7 linked regions of the Ovis aries genome follow. The protein of the gene in region 3 binds, or shares a complex with, the protein of the main gene of each other region. Links are inferred from orthologs where the notes say so. Each region holds a gene or a part of one and is shown on either strand. Other genes may lie near its edges.

Region 1 (2,947 bases), on a different chromosome or scaffold from region 3:
AAATACAGATTGCCTAAACTCCAAATGTGCTGACATGGAAATGTCTTTCCTATCTCAATTTTCCTATGCATACATAGAGCACCATGTATATACACCAAATAGAAAATGTTGGTTCAGACTAACACAAAATCATGGTTCTATTGTTTTATGAAAAACCAATGACTTGATCATGTTCTCAATTGATTTTCTTAGTTTCTTTTTTCTTACCCTCATTATATCTACATTTTAAGCAATAATTATTAGAACAAAAACTTTTAAAATTTTTATAAACATATATTCCCCCATTTAACCATTAAACTTTTTTTATTGTTATTCTTTATACTTTTAGTGATTTACCTTAAAGTTTAAATGTATCAAGAGGCTCTGCTATTTAAAATAAAACTCTGGAAATGATTGTTAAATAGAAAAGTCTTTCTTGATCATCACCTTAATTTATCTGTTATGTAGATTTAGTGTTCTTATTTTATATTTTCTTATAAACTCATCTATCTGGAAAAAAATGTGAACAAATACATTTTATTAAACTATTCAAACAGAATTCTATTTTGAATTTCAAAGTATTGGAATATACCTAGTGACAGCTTTGGTATAGGGCAAAGGTTAATTAGTTAGTGTACAGGGGAAGAAAACTTTGACTGAACATTATATATAATAATAAAAAGCAGAAATAATAAAAAGAGCATAAACAGAATAGTAAGGTGTGATTAACAGTGGGAAGTGAAAACATTTTCAAAATTAAGCAACATAAAAATGAATAAGGCATAATGTGGAAATCCTAAGATAAGCATGAATCACAAAACAGGAAGGATAGAAAAAATGATTTTTAATGTAGCTACAACTATCTCTCAATAAAATACAATACTTTAGGAAAGAAAATATTGTATCTCTTAAGACAACCCAATTATCACTTAAAATTAATGGTTCAGATATACCCAAGCAAGCTTTGTTCTTAACAGAATTTCCTTAAATAGGTTTCTCCTATTAGCAAGGGAATATGCTCATTTATGATCATGAGTCCTTTGGGCCATCCAAACTCTATATATTAACAGGCACCCTGATTATCAGATCAATCTTCATGTGAATTTACTGGGTATGAGCAGTTCTTCAGTGAATAATGACTTAATAGATAAGATCATAAGGGTTAATGTACCCAGGACAGTGGCAAATTACATAGAAGGCTCTCAAATACATGTACTTTTCTCTTTTAACTTTATAATAAAAATAAACCCACAGCCCAAAAGAACTGTAAAAGACAAGAATGATTTCTAAAGATAGCTCAACATAAATATTTTATAACTTATTGTGAAGACATTTTGCACACCACCACCATAAATACTGAACATGGCTGTATGAAAATAACAATTTTAGGATAAAAACATTTCCTAAATATCATCACAATCTACCTGCTTTCTTCTTAACCTCAGTATAATAGCTAAGACCCTAGCAGACATGAAAATTTGGTGTCTGTTTACAAATGTAGTCTAATACATCAGAATACTGACCAGCATCTCCACATACTTCATACGTACTGCCAAGACATGGATAGGCCAACAATAGTGAAAGAAATATACACATTTCTAGTTACAGGTACTAACTGGAGATATTACAGTAAAGATGTAACGCCACCAATATAGATCTCTACACACCTGAAAACATTGACAACAACAAAAAATTTAAGATATTTGACATCAGGTAGACAACATGCAGGCTTTAGGGTTGATTTACTGCTTTCACGTGCTGTACAGTCTTATCATTGTGTCCAGCCTTGGAATTTCAGAGCCAGGGAGGATACAGTTCAAAACACTTGCTTTGTCCCTTTTATTGTGTTAGCCCTCTGGTGTTTTCCTGCAGTCTTCTAGAATGATCCTCCAGATGCTTATTCAACAGCACTGGGTCAAATCTCTTCTATACAGGACCTCACTCTTCTCATGTCTCCTCGGCTCGCAGACAGCCGGTCAAAGTCTTGGAGGTGGAAACGAGTTGCCAGCTGATTTACCATTTTCCTCAAGGTAAGAAATGCTGAAACAACTTGGAAAGTAAGGAATATAGTGAAGATGATATGTACTGCTTTCTCCAAGGGCAGATTTGTTAGGCCCTCATTGAAGAGCAAGAAAAGAATTAAAGGCAACTGCAACAGAAGGCTCAGAAGCCAGAAGCCAGCCAACTCAGGAACCTGCAATGATACACACGACAAACATCAGACCAGTGAAGTACCATCTTCTGCTTGTGCTGAAGCAAGTGATACTACTGTGAACCTACATTTTGAGCTCTGTAATTCAAAATAAGTATAGTGTGGTCCTTATCCTCAGGGAACTTACAGTCTAGACTGAAAGAGGAAACTACCTTATGTGACAGTCCTACATTACTACACTTAAGTGAATAATGAAACGTACGTACCACTTAGAGTAATAGACTAAATGCTCTAACAGAGTAAACAGGGTAGGTAAAAGAAATAATTCAAGGAGGTAGGCTTTTAAAGTTAGATAGAATGAGGAAGCGGAGAAGGCAATGGCACCCCACTCCAGTTCTCTTGCCTGGAAAACTCCACGGACAGAGGAGCCTGGAAGGCTGAAGTCCATGGGGTCACTGAGGGTCGGACATGACTGAGCGACTTCACTTTCATGCATTGGAGAAGGAAATGGCAACCCACTCTAGTGTTCTTGCCTGGAGAATCCCAGGGACAGGGGAGCCTGGTGGGCTGCCACCTATGGGGCTGCACAGAGCTGGACACGACTGAAGTGACTTAGCAGCAGTAGCAGCAGCAGAATGAGGAAAAGGCAAGAACTTAAATAAGCAAAAATGTGGAAAGAATATGACTGGGAAACAACACATCAGCCTGGAATGGATGTCTGTGTTAGGAAAAAGCACAAAATACAGTGGGATAGGCTGGGTGGGGCTTAATTATGAAGGGCCTGGAAGAACACTGAAATCTTTAGGCATTATCACT
Region 2 (3,500 bases), on a different chromosome or scaffold from region 3:
CTGTACACAGCTTCAATCAAAGGCTTCACCTCGGAGTATGGCATGTGAAGGGGGAATCCAGAGAACTGCAGGAAAACAAAACAACCAACATTTTAATCATTACTGAACGTGAAGTTTTCACTGTATTTTCCCCCTAATTAAGTATGTGCAGTTCTAAGTAGGAAGTCTTCCTTTTGGGTCTTAAAGTCATTTATTTAGCTTTGTTTTTCTATTCAGCTATATATTAACATTATAGAAAATAGAGAGAGGCTAAGTGTTTTAACTGCTAACATACTGACTTGATGTTTAAGATACCTGTTAATCACCTAGCCACCCTCCACTGTTCCCTTCCTCCTTATCATAGCCCCGAGTTTGCATAGAAAGAAACCCATGCAGTACCAGGACCCTAGGGTAGATTAACACATTCTACCTGGCCTCAGTGTTGATCTACAGGAAAGAGGGTATGTAATCTAGGAAACTTGTAAGAAATACTGGCATACAGATGTTCTCTGCTGCTTGGAGCAATGTGTGTCCCTTTGTGAGTCGTACCAGGAACTATTCCAGCCCAGTTCCAGCCCATGTGTGTCCATATATGAGTGCTACCAGGAACTATTCCTGTGCTCCCATGAGGAAAACCAGTCTGTGGACGATGCCATCACATGGAGGAGGGCAGAGAGGGAAGACGTGCAGACATGTGGTATGGCCCCAATAGCTACTTACCCCTAAAATTTACCCTAATAAGCCTATAGGTTGTTAATGCTCATGCTTGTTTGAAATAAGAAGTTTTCTGTTACTTGAAAGCATCGCAGCTGAAACCTAGCCTTAGAAGTTAAAGGGTAAGTTTTAGTCACTGAATAGAATTAAATGTCCAACTTGGGACCTTCCTGGTGGTCCCGTGGTTAAGAATCCGCCTGCCAATGCAGAGGACGTGGGTTTGGTCCCTGGTCCGGGAGGACCCCACATACTGTGGGGAGCTAAGCCTGTGCACCACCGCTACTCAGCCCACGCGCCTAGAGCCTGTGCTCTGCAACCAGAGAAACCACCGCGGTGAGACGTCCACGCGTCGCAGCTAGAGTGGCCCTTGCTGCAACTAGAGAAAGCTCGTGTGCAGCAACAAAGACCCAGTGCAGCCAGAAGTAAAATGAAATAGCTTTAAAAATGTCCAGCTTGGCTTCATACTGTTGACCAATGAGGCTTACTGTTTCAGTTTGCCGCTGCTTTCTAGGTTTTGGTATCCAGCTATAGGGTATGAACACAGCGCAGCTGACAGCAGAGAATATCTGTTGCCTAGGAAGGAGAATTTTTCTTAGCAACGAAAAGCAATCAGGATAAAGTCATATCCTTAAAGTCTGCTCAAGAATGGTTGGCTTCACCTTTATGCTCAGTTGAGTCTAACATGATTTAGCCAGACATTTTTGTTTTATGTAATACTCTTGTGATTTTATAAAAGATATTTTTCATAGGATCCTCCTACCAAACAAATGGTGATATTTCCGTTTTAGAGAGACATTCTGCTATTTAATGGTGGGTTCATTCCTGAGCTTGGAACTTCTATTCACAGTTTTTAATCTCTGCTGCTTCATCTGAATAGTTTGGGAAGTAATCTAGGCGTTTTGATTCCAAAGCCCATTGTACCAAGCACTTTCCAATTCGAAATGGACTGCTTACCCTGTAGTCTCCCAGCTGTTTGAGCAGTTCTGCTCTGTGGTCGTCCTCCACGTCTTCTTGGTTCCTTTCTAAGAGAGGCAAGAAGTGACGCAGCATGGAGGTGCAGTATCTGTTCCACCGAGTCAGGTGGCGCGGCCGCCAGTCCATGATTTTTTCTTTTAGTATTTTTTCAATCCTGTTTATAAAAAAAATAGGCTCCATTTTTTGGGGTGACTTGACTTTTCCCTTGTAAACAGAAGTACAAAAAAATAGCATTTTGAAACTTTTAGAAGAAACAGGATTTTTTTTTTTCCAGGAATTAGTTGTTCTCAGGACCTCACAACTTTATTTTAAATTTGGAGTTGAGAGTAAATTGATGTTTTTTAGTAATAACACCATAAAAGGCTCACTGTGATCCTGCACAGTTTGACATGCACCTCTTCCCGTGGCCTGAGACAGCAGAAAGGACACACAGGCTTTGGAACTAGAAAGGTCTGGCTGGGCTCAGTAGCCCCTTAAACACCTGACAAGTACGCAGACCTCTCTGAGCCTTGTGAAACTGGGAAAACAGGGTTCATGATAAGCATTATGGGCCTCAAACAGGCTCTTACTAATCATCTATTAATCCCATGTGCTAGGTTTAGAAAGTAGCTGAAGTTCACTGAACCACTGATGGAACAAAATGGGCCTATTTAAGCCAAGGATTGTGAGATTGCTGCACGGTACCCATGCGTGGCATGCTGTTGAACTCTAATCTGGGGGGAAGTTTCTGGAGAACTACCTATCAGTGCTGGACTTCACTGCCCTGTGGCTCACACCATGCTGATGCCAGAGCCTTGGGATTTAGAGACCACATCGGAACTTTGTAAACACGAATTAAAGTTTAATTGCTGTTCACACTGATCCAGGGTGAGAACTGTTTCATTTGATAGTAACACTCCTAGTGACAGACTGCATGTGGATTTATGGGTTATCATGTGACCTGTCTTGCAGTTCAGCTGCAGCCACCTGGTCTGTGCGCTGGTAAATAAGCTCTTCCGGCTATAAAAGAAAAAAAAAAAAAACAGTTGAGAAATTTTTTAGGAATCAGTTACAGTTTATTTTAGTAGCTGTACATCCTTCTCTAAATTTTTTTAAAATTATGAACTCTTCATTGAGTTAGGATAATATCCCAGATGCCAGTGCACCTAAGCTCTACTTTTAAGTAAAGCATCACAAATAAATTCCAGTGCTGCGTAGTTCTTTCTCAGTTTTATTACCCTTTCTCTCACAGAAGTAACCACAATCTGAATTTGCTTTTTCAGCACTCTTCATTCAACATGTATTGAAGACCTTCTGTGTGTCAGGCACTTATACAGGTGAAGAGGATGTAGCCCGTATGAACAGAATCCCTGCTCTTGTGGTGTTTACGTTATAGTCAGTGGAGACAGGCAAATTAGTGAAATGTGTTCATGATTTAACTACAGATATTCATATTGCTAAACAATATACTGTGTTGCTTTTCACTTTTCTAAACTTTAGTAATTTTATCCTGCGAACATATAATTTTCCCCTTTAACATATTTAGAGAGGATAGCAAATAGGTATTTTCAGTGTGCTTAACTAAGATTCATAAATATTGATTCATTCATGTAACTACTATTACATATTCCACTATATATACCATAATTTACCCCTTCTGTCCTTCCAGTCCTTGCTGCTGCTGCTGCTAAGTCGCTTCAGTCGTACCCGACTCTGTGCGACCCCATAGATGGCAGCCCACCAGGCTCCCCTGTCCCTGGGATTCTACAGGCAAGAACACTGGAGTGGGCGGCCGTTGCCTTCTCCAGTGCCATTCCTTAGGCTTCTGCAAACAATTCTCCTATGAAAACTTT
Region 3 (3,500 bases):
ACAGGGCGAACTGTTAACAGCAAGAACCTTTTGTATTCTATTACAAGTTTATCACTAAAAGGATGTTGCCTGTGTGCTTAAATTATACATAATGGCCCATCTCTGGAAACGCTGCTCCCCAAGTAGTGAAAATTAAGCTAAAATACCTTTGTTTAGCTCAGAGGAAACATCCTTACCAGGTCCACCTGTGAGTGACTGCAGAGAGAAAGAAATGAACAGACCCTCTCTGGAGGCTTATGGGAACCAGAAAGTGTTTGACTTGACTCCCTCTCCTTTTAGTGTTTAGTACTCCCTCCTCCTCAGAAGGAGCCTGAATTCCATCTCAGGCAAGATGGTTATCTGGGGCATGAAGCATCTTCTGAATTTGCTGGCTTTCTGAGTAAAGTTGCCATTCATTGCCCCAACAACTGGTCTCTCACAATTACTGGCCTTTTATGAGGCAAGCTCTATGAGCTTGGACTTAGTAACAAAACTCCAGGAATCACTCAAAAGCTGAAAATAGTGTTTTTTTAAGAGGACATTGTATATTTATCAATGTAACATACCTTGTTTGAGATTTAGACAAGGTGGGAACTTTCTTTTTTTTCTTCTTTCGTTTTTCACCACTCAATTTGTCATCATGCAATGAAGAATCTAAGGGAAAGTAAGACAACTGCTCCTTGAGTTTCTTTCGGATTTTCTTCTTAATCTCCTTTGCCATTTCTTCAGCTACCTGGAGCTGGTATACCTGCATCAGCTGTTCCTCATCCAAACCACTGTCTTCTCCTTCCTCCTTGGCCTTTCCACCTTTGTCACGAGCCACTCCTGGCTGTGGCTTAGTCCGTGTTTTCTGAGGCGTCGCATCTCCCTTCTCAGGAGCTTCTGGCTCCGTCTCTCGTGCAGTCACCTGGAGCGCGGTTTTCGTAACCTTTTTATTTGCCTTTTCTTGCTTGTCATCCTCCACACGAACATCATTTTCTGGGTCTTCAGTTGCTGGCTGTGGATCTCTCGGTTTGGTTTTAGTTATTGTTTTACTGTTCTCTGGGTTCTTAGTGTTAGCAGCAGTTATAGCATCACTTTCAGTTTTCCTGATTTTCTGAAGACTGCTTGTAACAGCATCAAGCTAGGAAAAGACACAATAACAGAGTGTCAACTAATCACAGTTTAGTTCTGTGAAGATAAAATCATGTTGACTGTTTCACAATATGCAATACTGGAAAGAATATTTCACTTTTTACTCCAGCACTGTGACACCATTCTAGGGCCTTAGGTGAGCGTTTTCCTGCTTATTCTCCCAGTCTTAGACCAGCAATCTTAAGAATAAATTCAGATCAAAGGAGTTAACTAACATGGGGAACATGTTAATGACTTTTTAAAAGTGAATTAACTGCTCAAATCTCAAATGTTACTTTCCTCTGGCAAAATGATCCATATTTCAACCTAATTAAGAGATATTAGTGAAATTGCTAGAAGAGCTATGGTTAAAGTATTTCATGTTCTCTAATAGAAAACACACACAGGTCGTTTATCTTGCTTCATAATTAAATTCAAAAACCAAAGGTTTACAGCTCTAGGATTACTGTGCAATTAGTCTAAGCATTTCACTGAAAAGGCTGCTAGGTATTAAATATTATCAAGTTAAATCAAATGACAGACTAAGCACATACTTGTATTAATAACTTTCTCCATTCAAACTTATTTAAAATAAGAAATAAACAGAAAATAATGCTAGAAATCAAAAAGGAATGTTACTAGTAATAAAATAAATATTTTGAGAAATTCCCCAAGGATGCAAAACAGGCAGGATTAGATCCATTAAGAAATCCATTAAGAAACTACCAGAGAAAACCACAGACTGTAGGAAAAGACTTCTCCAGAGAAAAGGCTGGTTCTGGGGAAGCCATAACCTCAGGCAAGGAATACGAGAAGAAGGGATAAGCCTGAGGATGACCAACTGAAGAGTTGGGAGGGCAGCTCTGTTCCCCTCCTCCAGCTGTGTTACACGGTGCCTTTCACCCAGAGAACAAAACAGCTGAACAGATTAGACATATGGCTTCCTGTCTCAGGTAGGCACAACCCTCACCACCAGCAGAAGCGGGTTATGTTGAAAACAACCAACAGGCAGGAAAAAAATTCTCAAACACAAAGATGATTAACAACTGAGAACTGACACTGAGGGAAAGCAGCAGCATCGAGAAGTCCACCAACTCCAATAAAACAGAAAAATTAACATGGAAGAAAAACAAACAGCATCAACAAAATAATTTAAAATAAGTAGAATTAATATTAAGAAACTCAAAAAGATATGAGATGGAAAACAACTGCAGATGTTAGAACTAAAATTTTGAGTGACAGAAATAAAAGCTGAAGGGATGCGTTCAAAAACAGAATGGCTAAAACCATAGGGATAAAAGACTGAAGTCAGAGAATTCTCCCAGAAATGACGGAACCAGTGAAGACTGAAGTTCAATTATTGAAAACCCTCATGCTTCAAAGTAGTTAGAATATCTAATATACGTGAAAAGATGGAAAAATGTATTCCACCACATACCCAATATTTTACCATCTTTAAGACTCTTCTGCTCACCTAAAATATATTTCCACATTCTACCTAATCCTTAAGGATAAATTCTGAAGCCATAGCCTCCAAAAATCTTTCCTAATCAAATTTAATAAAAATATCTTCTTAAAGGTTTATTTTCACATATCCTGTTTCTAGAAGCAATATATCCATAAAACAGTAAGAAAACAGAAAATTTAAAAATAGAAAAAAATTCAGAAATTACTTAAAAAAGAAAACCCAAAGTTCAATCCTAGATTGCCTCACACAAGGAAAATCAATGATAATCTGTTCAGAAACTCACTTTTGTCTCCTTTCTCTGAAGACAGTCATACCTAATAACCTTGAATTTCCATTACATCAATACAGAGCAAATGCTAACTTTTCTGTTTTCTCAGTACCAGGAATGTAGTGGCAATCAAGGTAAACCGTGAGGACACTAATAAATGGAAAAAGATAACCAAAAATTAGAAACAGAAGAAAGAATTATAGTCTAGACGAAAGGATTTTGAAAATGAAAACCCTGGGGAAGCTCATCATGTGAAGCTCATAAGAGGTTTATTTATTCTCTTCCACTGATCTGTCAACCTTTGTACTAATAACATCATTTTAAATACAATCCTTAGAGCACCTTTGGTAGCATTCCACAATTCTATTGAGATGATAGTTTCAGTACCTTTTAAATTCCTGTTTTTGTGGTTTGTATTCCCTTTTTCTTGCTAATCGCTTCACGAGATAGATTTTACATTACCAAGTAATTTACGAATTTAAAAGTTTTGTTGTTCTAGTTTTGTCATACTATAAAAAGTCTACTTCATGGAATTTCACATTTCATGGACTGTCACTGAATTTTACAATCTCTCAAATACATTTGTTCATGTTCTATTTATCTTTAACCATCCGTTTATCTTTACCATCTCTGCATCATTTTTTACTTTAGCTTGTCTGTTTTTAAAAATAA
Region 4 (3,500 bases), on a different chromosome or scaffold from region 3:
GGTCCGTCTAGTCAAGGCTATGGTTTTTCCTGTGGTCATGTATGGATGTGGGAGTTGGACTGTGAAGAAGGCTGAGCACCGAAGAATTGATGCTTTTGAACTGTGGTGTTGGAGAAGACTCTTGAGAGTCCCTTGGACTGCAAGGAGATCCAACCAGTCCATTCTGAAGGAGATCAACCCTAGGATTTCTTTGGAAGGAATGATGCTAAAGCTGAAGCTCCAGTACTTTGGACACCTCATGTGAAGAGTTGACTCATTGGAAAAGACTCTGATGCTGGAAGGGATTGGGGGCAGGAGGAGAAGGGGACAACAGAGGATGAGATGGCTGGATGGCATCACGGACTCGATGGATGTGAGTCTGAGTGGACTCTGGGAGATGGTGATGGACAGGGAGGCCTGGCGTGCTGCAATTCATGGGGTCGCAAAGAGTCGGACACAACTGAGCGACTGAACTGAACTGATGTAATACTTTTACTACTTATATAAAATCTTCTATTTGTGTTCCTCTTCTTTAGATTCAGCTCCTAAAATATTTTATTTATTTAAATATAATATTTTACTTTTCTCAGTGGGCTTACTCTTTTCAAAGTTATCCTTAGATTAGTTTAACTAATACATTCGTAATACTACTTATCCTAGAGATACACAACTACAAGCATTTAATAAGACTTAGAAGCTGCTGTTTGGGAGCTCCAAATTAAGCATCAGGGTGTCTCTGCAGAATATTTAGAAGGACAAATAAATCCTTACTTCGTCTTCCTTCGAGGTTTCTGAATAACTGGCTCCTCATCTGGCTCCACATTGATACCGTTTTCATTTGGTAATAAAGATGGACTAGCTGTCTTCTTCTGGGTAAAGGCAGTCTCCAATTCTGAAAATAAAGCAGATTAAGTTTTTAAATAACTATGATGCAAAAAAGAAAAGTAGCATGTAAGACTTCTGTAAGACAAAAGAACTTTAAGAATTCTAATTGGCCCCCAATCTTTTTCACCATCTTATTAATTTTTAAAATTTTACACCTCTAAACACTCAACAGACAATTTGAAATCATGATGCCAAACAACATGAAAAAAGAAAAATCAAGTCATCCAACATCGAGGGTGTGTCAGAACTCCAAGATTACCTCCAAGTTCTATGATTCACTCAACGGACTCACAAGTCATTTACACTCACAGTTACAGTTTATTACAGGAAAAAGACACAAAACAAAATCAGAACAAGGAAAAAGCTCATGGAACAAAGTCCCAAAGAAACCAAGTCCAAGTTTCCAAGAGTCCTCTATCAATGAAGTCACACAGGATGTGCTAATTCTTCCAGCAACAAGTTGTAACGACATATGTGTTCCTTTCTCTTCCAGGGAAGCTCATCAGTCACTTAGCAGCCAGGAATTTTACTGGGGAGTGATCACAGAGGCACCTCGTGCCAAACACATACCAAAATTCTAGACTCCCAGAAGAAAAGCAGGTGCTCAGCATAAATCTCACTGTGAGCATAGCGCACAGTGAGCCACCCTGACAGTTTATAGAGAAAGCTTTGTATCAGTGTAGACAACTGTTGCATAGGAAGCTGGAATGTCAGGTCCATGAATCAAGGAAAATTGGAAGTGGTCAAACAGGAGATAGCAAGAGTGAACATTGACATTTTAGGAATCGTGATCTAAAATGGACTGGAATGGGTGAATTTAACTCAGATGACCATTATATTTACTACCGTGGGCAAAAATCCCTTAAAAGAAATGGAATAGCCCTCACAGTCAACAAGAGAGTCGAAAATGCAGTACTTGGATGCAATCTCAAAAATGACAGAATGATCTCTGTTCATTTCCAAGGCAAATCATTCAATATCACAGTAATCCAAGTCTATGCCCCAATCAGTAATGCTGAAGAAGCTGAAGTTGAATGGTTCTATGAAGATCTACAAGACCTTTCAGAACTAACACCCAGAAGAGATGTCCTCTTCATTATAGGGGACTGAAATTCAAAAGTAGGAAGTCAAGAAACATCTGGAGTAACAGGCAAATTTGGCCTTGGAGTACAAAATGAAGCAGGTCAAAGGCTAACAGAGTTTCGCCAAGAGAACACACTGGTCATAGCCAACACCCTCTTCCAACTACACAGGAGAAGACTCTACACATGGACATGACCAGATGGTCAATACCGAAATCAGACTGATTATATCCTTTGCAGCCAAAGATGGAGAAGCTCTATACAGTCAGCAAACACAAGACAGGGAGCTGACTGTGGCTCAGATCATGATCTCCCCATTGTCAAATTCAGACTTAAATTGAAGAAAGTAGGAAAACAACTAGACCATTCAGGTATGACCTAAATCAAATCCCTTACGATTACACAGTGGAAGTGAAAAATAGATTCAAGGAAATAGATCTGATAGACAAAGTGCCTAAAGAACTACGTGCCATTGTATAGGAGGCATTGATCAAGACGATCCCCAAGAAAAAGAAATGCACAAAGGCAAAATGGTTGTCTGAGGAGGGCTTACAAATAGCTGAGAAAAGAAGAGAAGCTAAAGGCAAACAAGAAAAAGATATAAGCATCTGAATGCAGAGTTCCAAAAAATGGCAAGGAGAGATAAGAAAGCCTTCCTCAGTTATCAACGTAAAGAATAGAGGAAAACAATAGAATGGGAAAGACTAGAGATCTCATCAAGAAAATTAAGACATACCAAGGGAACATTTCATGCAACGATGGGCACAATAAAGGACAGAAATAGTATGGACCTAACAGAAACAGAAGATATTAAGAGGTGGCAAGAATACACAGAAGAACTATACAAAAAAGATCTTCATGATCCAGATAACCATGATGGTGTGATCACTCACCTAGAGCCTGACATCCTGGAATGTGAAGTCAAGTAGGCCTTAGGAAGCATCACAATGAACAAAGCTAGTAGGTGATGGAATGCCAGTTGAGCCATTTCAAATCCTGAAAGATGATGCTATGAAAGGGCTGCACTCAATATGCCAGCAAATTTGGAAAACTCAGCAGTGGCCACAGGACTGGAAAACGTTACTTTTCATTCAAATCCCAAAGAAAGGCAAGCCAAACAATGTTAAAACCACCGCACAATTGCACTCATCTCACATGCTAGTAAAGTAATGCTCAAAATTCTCCAAGCCAGGCTTCAACAGTACGTGAACCATGAACTTCCAGATGTTCAAACTGGATTTAGAAAAGGCAGTGGAACCAGAGATCAAATTGCCAACATCCACTGGATCATCTAAAAAGCAAGAGAGTCCCAGAAAAACATCTAATTCTGCTTTAAGCCAAAGCCTTTGACTGTGTGGATCACAACGAAGTATGGAAAATTCTTAAAGAGATGGGAATACAGACCACCTGACCTGCCTCTTGAGAAATATGTATGCAGGTCAGGAAGCAACAGTTAGAACTGGACATGGAACAACAGACTGGTTCCAAATTGAGCAAGGAGTATGTCAAGTCTGCATACTGTCACCCTCCTTATTTAACTTATATGCAGAGCAC
Region 5 (3,500 bases), on a different chromosome or scaffold from region 3:
GTGGCACCCGCACTGCCTGATGTCGGCACATGGTCTACTGACTTACTCTCTGCCTCCCTGGCTGGGAATGGAAGCTCCGCTGTGGTGGGGACTTTGTCCATTTTGTTTGCCACTCTATTCCCAGAACCTGAAGCAATGCCTGGCACCTCTGGCACATAGTAGGCCCTCAGAAAATATTTGCCAGGTTAATGAGCGGATTTAACAAGCAGACACCAGTTATGGTGCTGTACCAGATCTCTGTCCTCTGTGAACCTGGAGTAAAAGCATGCTGGTTTTTTTGCAAAAAGATCTTTCATAACCAACATCTGCTCCTTGAGTTTAAGTCTGGACATTTTAGTCCTGGAAACAGGACCAGATTTGAAGTCAGATATGTGGCTTCATATCCTGTCTTTACCAATACTAGCTGTACTCCATAAATCCTTTAATCTCCCTGAGACTTGATTTTCTCACATATGCAATGGGAATAGTAGTTGCTCTGCTTACCTTTGACTGATTGTAAAGGTCAAATGAAATGTGTCTCTCCCTCTGAGACTGTCTGAGAGTCCAGATTCTTCTGGTATTTCCCTCCTGACCACTATCCTTCCTCTCTCAAAAGTTGTTGATCTTTGTCTTCCTGTATAACCCTCAAGATCCAGAAAAGTTATGGATCTACCACAGAGAGGTAACCTGACTTTGTCTTCCAAGTCTTCCCAGATATCAGCTGAAAGAAAAAATGCTCAGGAAGACAAGGCAGCCTCTTTTCCATCCTGCTCATAATTGCTGATACATAATTGCCTCGGTAACCTGATCGTCAGCCCTGGTAACAGATATCCCTGTGCTGCACCTGCAAAGCCGACAGAACGAGAGAGAGAAAATAGCATCCAACAGAAGAGAGAGGGTAGACTTCTCCATAACAAGGCCCAGGATAAGGACATTATTGTCTAGAAGGAAAGAAATGATTGAAAGGTTCTGAAAACTGAGATAACGCCATCTCAAGCGACCTTATTAGCCTGAGAAAGAACAAAGAATCTCTTCCCCCACATAGAGGTATGGAGGAGAACCACATGACTCAGTAGATGGGGAATCGGGGGGAATATGCTGATACACCATCGCAGAGTCCTTCTGGGAGCCTTCGGAAAGGATGAGTTGTAACAGCGAGGTCCAGAGTTGCACCACGGAATCATGTCCCCAGTGATCACATCTCAGTGACCGTCTCTCCTGCTCGTCCTCTTAGGGTCACTGTGAGGCGAGACTGGATTCTGGCGGTTTTTTGTGAGCTATGATCTGTCTTTCTCCCTCCTTGGATCTCTGTTCTCACTGCCTTCATGTCACTAATTTATAAAGTACCTATGGAGTCTTAGTGCCTTACTGATTTTACTTTAGCTTTCTTTTCCATTGTACTGATTGGTACTACAAGATACACCACATTTTAAAGCCCTGACATCAGTCCAACGTTGAGAATCTGAAGCAAAGACATTGTGGTTAAAGAACATATAAACAGAGCCTGGTGTTTTTCTGCTGAGTCTGTTTGGGAAATGCAGAATGATTGGGGTTTTTTCGAAATCTGTTCTTAGGTGCTATTTAAACCTTCCCTATAAACTCAGGCATATTTCTTAAAAGGAAAGAAAACACCAGCAACAAACCAAAAAAGGTCAAATGAGACAACTGAAAAAGAATAACGCTTCCAGATGTTGCATTGCTTTCATTGCCGCTTCCAGGTCCCAGCCAGTTTGGCCCTAGAATATTTAGAAGTGCGAGTGTGCAGTTCAGGGGCCCTGTCTCTTTCCCCAGTATTGATCCACCTATAACTATTCCATGTTCTCTTTCTTCTTTCGGTGAGAGATGTAATGCCTGTGTGTGGCAGAGTCACTGTGTATGTCCAACGTACTCCATGCTGTGGAGTCCTCCTGGACTTATTAAGGACCAGGGTCATCAGCATTTTTGGGTTTCCTAGGCCAGAGAAGAAGACAGGAACCAGGATGGGAAAATGGACATGTTGCACTTTAAACTGGAGCTTCCCCTGCAGTCCACAGAGCAGGTTCTAGGTGTGCAGCTCATCCTGACTTTCTCCTACCAACTGCATGTGAGTTACCTCCCTTTTGTCTTTACTTTTTTCGTAGTTTTTATTTTACCTATTTATTTTTTGGCTGCGCATGTGGGGTTTCTCTAGTTGTGGTGAGTGGGGGCCACTCTGGCTTGCAGTGCGAGGGCGTCCTTGATTTGGAGCGCAGCTCTGGCTTTAGTTGCTCTGCAGCACGTGGAATCTTCCAGCCCAGGGATCGAACCTGTGCCCCTTGTATTGGCAGGCAGAGTCTTATCTACTGCACCACCAAGGAAGTCCTCCCTTTTGTCTTTCAATAGAACAGAGCCCCCCTTTCTGATTTCTGGGAAAACTCGCACTGCAGAAGACTCTTTGCAGAAGTGTCATTTAGGATTTAGCTGCCGAAGTTAAATTTGAATGTTTTTCGCGGAGGCCACATTAATTTCCATGAGCTATTAATAGCTCCAGGGGTTCTGGGCAGAGCGCTTCCTGCATGGCTAAGCTCAGCACTAGGGGGACGGCTTAGCTTCAACCACAGATGGGTGATGCTCAAAACCCGCAACCATTCGGCTCTGACTGAAATTGATATGGTCTCTCTTTCTAATGATTTCAGAGGATGTCTACATTCGTGATGCAGAGCATGGCGTTTCTCCAATCCTCCTTCGCTGTTCCGGGGTCCCAGTTACATGTGAATGGAGACCTGAGGCTGCAGCAGAAGCAGCCCCTCGGCTACAGAGGCCTGGACGTCCGGTACAACGTAGGGACGCTTCACACTGCCGATCTCTTTTGCTACTGTATTGTATTGTTTATCAAGCGCTTTGAAGAGGGAGCAAGTAGCATTGGAAATAGCACTTCTCTGTGAGTGGCACAGAAAAGGATCTCTGAGGAATTCTTTCCGTGAATCCTTTCGAAATATGGTGACAGATATCTCTGTTTACATCTTCAAAAAAGAGGGAGAAGAATCTGTGTCTTTATCTAAGAACTGGATTATTTATAGTTTTGGGGTTTGCATGCACACGCAGTGTAGTTCACATGGTCTTTCTTTGCTAAGCTTATAACAGGCCAGCCCCGAGTTAAGAGGTTTAACTACATCGTCTCATCCAGTCATCGCAGCAGCCTCATGAGACGCCTTCTGTTGCCGTTCTCCGCTCTCCAGCGGCTTGTCCTGTCACTGTCCCCCTTGCTCCTTTCCAGCCCCGGGGTCCATTTTGCTGTTCCTCAAACCTACGAAGCAGCTCCTGCCTCAGGGCTTTTGCGCTTACCTTTTCCTCTACCAAGTACCCACATCGCTCACCCTACTGCTCCGTCTGGCCCCTGGTCAAAGCTCCTGAGCACAGTCCTTGCTCGACACGCCTTCTAAAGACCATCCACCTGACCCTCCATCATCGCTCACCCAGGTTTACTCTGCTTACCTTCACCTGAAATATGAAAGGGAGGTTTCCAGTTTGTTCATTTGCCGTCTCCCTCATTGGTAAAGGGG
Region 6 (4,092 bases), on a different chromosome or scaffold from region 3:
ACATTCATTAAGTGAGAGTGATCACAGACGACCAGGTACAGTGGACAACAAACCCTGCAGATATTGGCAAGGAGAACTTTGGGAGATCAGAGGTAGGATGAGGGCTCGGTGCCCATGGCAGAGAGAAGGGCCTACCCCTGGCTCAGGGCAGGGTGTTGGAGGAGGAGCAGGGGGGTCGGGACTGGCGGGAGCACAGTGGTGATGGACGGGGGAGAGCTGTTGAGGGGCCAGACTGCTGAGCCCCAGACACCAGGCTCTGACCTTCGCAGGCAGTCACTGCCCAAGGTTTCACGCTGGGCTTCACCGACTTCCTCAGAACCTCGGAAAGGTCAAGTGCACACAGTGGGAAGGAGGGGAAAACAGCCAGGTGTCTGATAGCACCTGACAAGGCTGGTAGAGGGCCCCATGGATGGGCAGGACGAGGCCTGCAGACTCACAGCCGTAAGGGTTGGTGCTCTTAAAGGTGACATCGATGGGGAAGTTCCACACCAGCGCCCGCCTCGCATCTTGGCTCTTGGAGGTGATCTGTGAGATGCCCTCCTCCAGCCCCTGCAAGGACAATGACAGTGACGGCCAGTGTCCCAGCTCCAGGCTGCCATGCCCACCCACCCTACCTCTGAGGTGGCAGCTGAGAGCTGTTTTCATCACCATCTTCTGCCAAACAAAGGGACCTAAGATGTGACAGAGTGGCTCCCAGGTCTTTGAGGGTTTCTATCCATTAGGACCTGAAACCTTGAGGCCCCTCCCCTCTCCCGGTGCCCAAGCTCCACCTGCACCTCCTGCGGAATAGGGTATGGTCCAGCAGGCTGTTGCCCTCTCCCCTGTCTTTCTGCCTGGCTAGTTTATTCTACAGCCTTCTACTTGGCCCATCCCCCTGCTTCCTTCAGCTCTACGCTCAGTTACCATCTTTTTTTTTTTTTTTTTAAACTGTCTTAAGGAGGCCTTTTCTGGCCTCTTCATCCCTCCCCTTCCTGCCTTCACTTTCCCCTCAGCACCGCTACTAGCCAACAGCCTGGAGCGTGAGTCTGTCTCCCTCTCAGGCAAGTGGCCCCAGCAGAGCTGGGCTGGTCTGGCTTTGTTCGCTGCAGGGCAGGGCCCAGGAGCGACCACAGTCTTAGGGGTGGATCAGGGATCTCTGCATTCTCTGCTCCGGCCTCACTGGGAACAAACTCACGTGTGTGCCACCCCTGAACTCTTAACTGGTTCTGAATTGGGAGGGGAAAGGGTGCAATGGAGCCTTCAGAAACCCCTTCAGTCACAAAAGCTGTGAGTCTGGGAGGCTGTAGGGTCCAGCTTACCGCTGTGGGGGCCCAGTCCTGGCCATACACGAAACAGTACTTGCAGTAGAGGTCGTCGTACTCAGGAAACTGTGGAAATAAGCACACACAGCTTCTGCTCACAGGGACTCATGCTGTGACCACCTGTTAGCTAGGCAGGTACAGCCACCAGCAACTCTGAACATGAGGCACCTAGGGGGCGGGGGCTGAGAGAGCAGGGTGCATGGATACGGAGTTCATTGGAAGGTCTGGTCTCAAGATGTGGGATAGTCCAGGGACAGTGCTGCCCCCAGGCTTTTGCTCAGGCTCTGACATCTGTATGACGTGCCCTTCTAATGAGAAGTGAAGGAATGCCTTCACTGGGAGTACTCCTGCTCACCCTTCAAAACTGACACTTTGGGGAGCCTGCCGACTTCCAGGTTGTTGGAGCCACATCCCAGCTTCCACAGCCCCTGGTGCTCCATCACAGCACTGACCATGTTTATTCTCTCAGCTCCATTAGACTGTGAACAAGGGACAGGTATGTGGGCTTTCTGTGTCCCTAGCACCTGGCACAGGGTGGGCACTAAGGAGTGATGCTGAAGTGAAAGGTCTAGAAGACAGGTGCTCCCAGGACACAAAGCTTGGTGGGAGCCAATGGCCTGCAGAGTGGCCTCGAGCAGAGGGGAGGAAGAGTGGGGATGAGGGGCTGCTGAGAACACAGGCACACTGACCCAGCCCAGCTGAGGCCCCTGCTGGGATAAAGCAGAACAGGAGAGGCTGGCCTTAGGCACCAGGCCAAGGGGAGGTGGACAGGGTGGGGGCATGGGGCAGTGACCCTGATGAAACAGGAAGGCGGGAGATGCCCGCTAAGAGATCCCACGGAGCTTTACCTAGACCACCTTGGTTAGTACTCACAATATAATCATAATATTTTTAAAACAGCCTGGAAAGGCAAGTCCAGCAAAGCTTTGACATCAGACAAGGTTTGAAATTCGTTTTGCCACTTCCTTTGGGCAACTTCCCATCTGTAAAATGGGGGTGCAAGTAATACCTACTTCAAATGGTTGTTGTGAGGACTGGCTGAGCGGGGCTGGGCATGAAGACTGTCATATGTCATGTCTTCCAGTAGTAACAAACGGTTCTTAGGACATGCAGGGGACTGGAAAGCACTGTCCCCTTCCGTCGGACAGACACAGCCTCCGGGTCAGGACAGCTGCCACCATCGCTGTGTCAGACCAACCCGCGCCGGAGGGAGGAGCTGAGGGTCGCGGGGTGGATGGAGGCCCCTGCCCGAATCTTCACGTGGGCTCGGCCAACTGTGGCCTCGGCCTGGCTCAACGCTCCAGGCCTTTTTCCCCACCGCACTTCGTGGCGGAGGGTCCGCGCGATCTCTCGCCAAGCCTGTCACGCTAGCTCCCTCCCCCGAGGTTCGACCCTGGAGGACTCACGGCCGCTCACCTGGGCGCTCTCCACCTGCCCGTTGACCATGAGCAGGAACACGCTGGGGCCCGCGGCCGCCATAGCCGGGCCGCGCGGTTACTAGGAGGCGCCGGGTTGCCCTGGAGACGACGGCGTGGCGCACGGGACAAGTTTCATGGAAGCGGGAGCTTCGGGAAAACGCGCACAAGGCGCGGCGCGCAAGCGCAGTCGGAGCGGCGCTGTGCGGTGGGAGGCGGGCCTCAGCCGCCTGGTCCGTCTGAGGGGCGGTCCGCCCGAGGAACCCCGCGTGAATGTAGCTGGTGGTGCGGGACCTAGGCCACCGCCCGGGAATGTGTGTCCGCTCTGACCACCGCGCTGCCGGTTGGAGTGTGTGACTGGAGCCCGAGGCCGCCAAGGGGCGGGGTCCGGCCGCGCTTCCGAGAGTCCCCGTGGGGCCAGCAGCTCCCTGCCTCGGGTCTACAGATGCTCCCTCGTGCCTTTGAGACCCTCGCCTCCCAAAAGTTTATTAGACCAACCGAGAAGGGACCTGGAAGGTCCTTAAGCCCAAGACTGCAGGTCTCCGCGTGACGCGGGAAAACGGGCCTCTGAGTGGCCGCCCCGGCACCTTGCCGGCGGGGAGGGGCGAGCCCGCGGGGCTCGGCCGTCCGCCTGCTCTCAGCGCTCCCCACTGTTCGCTTTTGCACATCGATTACTGTGATAGCTCCAGCCAGTGCCGCCTCTCCCCTGAGCCCTACGCCACGAACACCGGGTCTGGGCCACCCCCGTGTCCCGGTTGCCTGAGCACTGGTGGCAGCTAGTGGAGTGGATGGATAATTGAGTACGTCTGCTGTACTAGCTGCCAACTCTGCTAAGTCGCTTCAGTCGTGTCCGACTCTGTGCGACCCCATAGACGGCAGCCCATCAGGCTCCCCCGTCCCTGGGATTCTCCAGGCAAGAACACTGGAGTGGGTTGCCATTTCCTTCTCCAATGCATGAAAGTGAAAAGTGAAAGTGAAGTCGCTCAATCGTGTCTGACTGGTAGCGACCCCATGGACTGCAGCCTACCAGGCTACCCCGTCCATGGGATTTTCCAGGCAAGAGTACTGGAGTGTGAATACGTCTCCGTTGCTCATTATCAAAGCTATGGTTTTTCCAGTAGTCATGTATGGAGGATGTGAGAGTTGGATCATAAAGAAGGCTGAGTGCTAAAGAATTGATGCTTTTGAAGTATGGTGTTGGAAAAGACTCTTGAGAGTGCCTCGGACAACAAAGAGATCCAACTAGTCCATCCTAAAGGAAATCAGTCCTGAATATTCCTGGAAGGAATGATGCTGAAGCTGAAACTCTGATACTTTGACCACCTGATGTGAAGAACTGACTCATTGAAAAAGACCCTGATGCTGAGAAAGACTGA
Region 7 (2,662 bases), on a different chromosome or scaffold from region 3:
TCCGCATCTTGCGTGGGCGGGCTCCAAGGGGGGTCCCTTAAGCCCGGGGGGAGGGGGCGGACACCCGGCTCCGCCCCACCAACAGGGTGCTGCCTCCTGGCGGTCGAGCGCTACCGAAGCGGGCGGCAGTGATGCTTGTGGGTTTGAGGACTGGGCCGGGGGTCAGCGAGAGCATAAAGACCTACGTAGTGCGGAAGGCTCAGAGAATGGGGACCCAGGATACAGGGACTTCGAGGTGGACTGCCCTGAGTGGAGAGTGGGAAACCGGGGCAGAGGGGAAGAGGGTCAGCCAGAAACTAAGGAGCCACTGGGGAAAGGGGCACGGGGCGGGGGGAACCTCCAACGAGTGGGGGCCCTTAAGAGCATCACCCAGAGTGGAGAAGGGGGTCAGACGCTGAGGCAGAGGGCAAGGGAAGGGGGCTTGAGGAGGGTAACAGTAGGAGGAATCCCCCCACCCCCGGCCCACGTCTGACAGATGAAGGTCAAAAAAGCACCCACACTTGAAAAGCACTACATCTTTATTGAGCCCTTCCACGTGCCAGCAGCTTCTCTGCACCCAACCCCTGTGAGCCCACACACCTACTAGCCCATTTTACAGATGGGAAAACTGGACCTGGGAGGGGTAGCCACTGGGCTTGAGGTGCTAGTCAGGTTAGAAGCTGCACCAGCCTTGGCTGGGTCTGGCCTCACAGTCTCCAAAGCCCATGCTTCTGACCACTGCACCATCCTGCCCCTTATGGGGTGTCCCAAGACATGGCTGGGGGCCAGCCATTCTTATAGGCTCCTTCAGCATTCAACCCCATACCGATCAAAGTGGCGCAGCAGCAGGCTCAGCTCAAGGTGCACAGTGCCCCCGGAGGTGGTGTGCAGGCGATAGCGGTCAGCCCCACTGTAGATGGCATCTCCATGCAGCAGCTGAGGCCCGCCGCCCACGAAGGCCCTCGCCAGCTGCTCTCGCCAGCTGCCCAGGGGCCGCCACGTGGGGCAGTCCAGCTGGTGGGTGCCTGGACTGCTGGGCACATGGCAAAAGCCATAGCCTGCAAGCTGGCAGCGGCCGAAGCTGTCCTGGGACCACACCTGGAGATGGAGCCGGGGCCAGCCTGCAGGATAGGGGGGAGGGTGGAAAGGTGAAGGGGTACAGTCCAGCCTCTTACTCCTGAAGACCCCCTGCCAGGTTTCTGCCCCACCCTCCTCCTCTGGACCACCACAGAGCAGCCAAAGGGATCTTTCTGAATCCAGGTTCTTCCTCGGCTCAAAACCCTTCCATGATTCCCTAATGCTCTCAGTATAAAGTCCAACCTCAACATTCTAGACCCTTGAGGTCTGGCCTCTGTTGAATTCTCTGTTGGCCTTCTCCTCTGTGTCCACATATCTGGGGAGCCCAGTCCCCAGGTGAGGGTGGTGGGCCTGGTCCTGGATGCCTCCTTCCTTCCCTCCCCATGGCCACACCCTGTCCTCTTTCCTGGCCTCGGGGCCTTCTTTCTTGCCTTCATCATCTTTCACCTGGCAGCTGGAAGCATCTTTCTCCCCTTTCCATAGATTTCTCAGTTCCTCACTCAAGATACAGTTCAGCTCCTCACCCTATAGGCAAAGTGCTTGGGAGATCCAGCCCCATTTCACCCTCCTTTTTGAGTCTCTCTGAGCTTGGCCCTGTTCTAGAAGCTGGGGATACAGCAGTGAACAGGGCAGACAAAAATTTCTGCCCTTGTGCAGCTGACATCTTAGACAACCAACACAGTAAATACGCAAATTATAGGGTATGTCAGATGGTGATAACTGCTCTGGAGAAAAATAAGCTGGGTAGGGTGGGAGTAGGTAGGCATGCAGTTTTAGAAGGCGGTGATCAAGAAAAAATTTACTGAGGTGACATCGGAGGCAGTGCTTAAAGGAGGGAAGAGACTGGGGGCTATATGGCTATCTAGGAAAGAGTGCTCCCAGCAGAGGGGACAGCTAGTGCAAAGGCCCTAAGGTGGGAGCTGCCTGGTGGGACTGATGTGGCTGGAGCAGACGGGGAAGGGGAGACAGAACCAGATCAAGCAGGGCCCTGTCCTTCCACGGTAAGGCTTTGCCTTTTACCTTGAGTGATGTGGGGACCACAGAGGGTCCTAAGCAGAGGAGGAATGTGGCCTGACTTAGGTGTTCACAGGAGGGACACCTCAGTAAAGACTCTATGGTAACAGCCTAGTGAGAGGTGATGGGGGTCGGGGGAGTGATGACATTCAGGATGCATTCCAAAGGGGGAGCTAATGGGATTTCCTAATAGAATGAGAAAAGAAACAGCAAGGATATTTGGGATCCTTAAGAGCTGAAAGGACTGTGGCCTGCCTCACCTTCCAATCCGTCACCTGTGAGACAGCCAGAGGGATCTTTTTTTTAACTGCAATCTTTTTTTTTTTTTTCAAGTTTATTTATTTGTTTGGCTGAGTCAGGTCTCAGTTGTGGCACATGGGATTTCTGTTGTGGCACTAGGGCTCCAGAGCCCATAGGCTCAGTAGTCACGGGGACCCAGCTGCCCCACAGCATGTGAGATCTTAGTTCCCTGACCAGGGATAGAACCTATCTCCCCTGCATTGGAAGATGGATCCTCAACCCCTGGACCACCAGGGAAGTCCCCAGAGGGATCTTTTAAAAGCAAAATCTGACTTGTCAATCACCTGTTCTG

Evidence for each region.
Region 1: AHI1 (region 3) and TMEM17 share a complex: the UniProt entries of both Homo sapiens proteins name them as parts of the tectonic-like complex. The link is inferred for Ovis aries from reciprocal best matches to the Homo sapiens genes AHI1 and TMEM17.
Region 2: AHI1 (region 3) and CC2D2A share a complex: the UniProt entries of both Homo sapiens proteins name them as parts of the tectonic-like complex. The link is inferred for Ovis aries from reciprocal best matches to the Homo sapiens genes AHI1 and CC2D2A.
Region 4: AHI1 (region 3) and TMEM237 share a complex: the UniProt entries of both Homo sapiens proteins name them as parts of the tectonic-like complex. The link is inferred for Ovis aries from reciprocal best matches to the Homo sapiens genes AHI1 and TMEM237.
Region 5: AHI1 (region 3) and TMEM231 share a complex: the UniProt entries of both Homo sapiens proteins name them as parts of the tectonic-like complex. The link is inferred for Ovis aries from reciprocal best matches to the Homo sapiens genes AHI1 and TMEM231.
Region 6: AHI1 (region 3) and B9D1 share a complex: the UniProt entries of both Homo sapiens proteins name them as parts of the tectonic-like complex. The link is inferred for Ovis aries from reciprocal best matches to the Homo sapiens genes AHI1 and B9D1.
Region 7: AHI1 (region 3) and B9D2 share a complex: the UniProt entries of both Homo sapiens proteins name them as parts of the tectonic-like complex. The link is inferred for Ovis aries from reciprocal best matches to the Homo sapiens genes AHI1 and B9D2.

The regions. Positions count from the first base shown.
Region 1 is NC_056056.1:45,739,197-45,742,143, reverse strand, and holds the end of TMEM17 (transmembrane protein 17), read right to left. Parts: intron 2,174-2,947; coding exon 1,895-2,173; 3' UTR 501-1,894; downstream 1-500. UniProt on the Homo sapiens protein: Transmembrane component of the tectonic-like complex, a complex localized at the transition zone of primary cilia and acting as a barrier that prevents diffusion of transmembrane proteins between the cilia and plasma membranes.
Region 2 is NC_056059.1:111,425,731-111,429,230, reverse strand, and holds part of CC2D2A (coiled-coil and C2 domain-containing protein 2A), read right to left. Parts: intron 2,668-3,500; coding exon 2,609-2,667; intron 1,823-2,608; coding exon 1,648-1,822; intron 66-1,647; coding exon 1-65. UniProt on the Homo sapiens protein: Component of the tectonic-like complex, a complex localized at the transition zone of primary cilia and acting as a barrier that prevents diffusion of transmembrane proteins between the cilia and plasma membranes.
Region 3 is NC_056061.1:60,789,912-60,793,411, forward strand, and holds part of AHI1 (jouberin), read right to left. Parts: intron 1,103-3,500; coding exon 546-1,102; intron 1-545. UniProt on the Homo sapiens protein: Involved in vesicle trafficking and required for ciliogenesis, formation of primary non-motile cilium, and recruitment of RAB8A to the basal body of primary cilium.
Region 4 is NC_056055.1:203,952,349-203,955,848, forward strand, and holds part of TMEM237 (transmembrane protein 237), read right to left. Parts: intron 872-3,500; coding exon 751-871; intron 1-750. UniProt on the Homo sapiens protein: Component of the transition zone in primary cilia. Required for ciliogenesis.
Region 5 is NC_056067.1:2,332,056-2,335,555, reverse strand, and holds part of TMEM231 (transmembrane protein 231), read left to right. Parts: intron 1-1,933; coding exon 1,934-2,062; intron 2,063-2,633; coding exon 2,634-2,777; intron 2,778-3,500. UniProt on the Homo sapiens protein: Transmembrane component of the tectonic-like complex, a complex localized at the transition zone of primary cilia and acting as a barrier that prevents diffusion of transmembrane proteins between the cilia and plasma membranes.
Region 6 is NC_056064.1:33,860,203-33,864,294, reverse strand, and holds the start of B9D1 (B9 domain-containing protein 1), read right to left. Parts: upstream 2,801-4,092; 5' UTR 2,781-2,800; coding exon 2,718-2,780; intron 1,368-2,717; coding exon 1,299-1,367; intron 550-1,298; coding exon 438-549; intron 1-437. UniProt on the Homo sapiens protein: Component of the tectonic-like complex, a complex localized at the transition zone of primary cilia and acting as a barrier that prevents diffusion of transmembrane proteins between the cilia and plasma membranes.
Region 7 is NC_056067.1:50,063,066-50,065,727, forward strand, and holds the end of B9D2 (B9 domain-containing protein 2), read right to left. Parts: intron 1,101-2,662; coding exon 787-1,100; 3' UTR 501-786; downstream 1-500. UniProt on the Homo sapiens protein: Component of the tectonic-like complex, a complex localized at the transition zone of primary cilia and acting as a barrier that prevents diffusion of transmembrane proteins between the cilia and plasma membranes.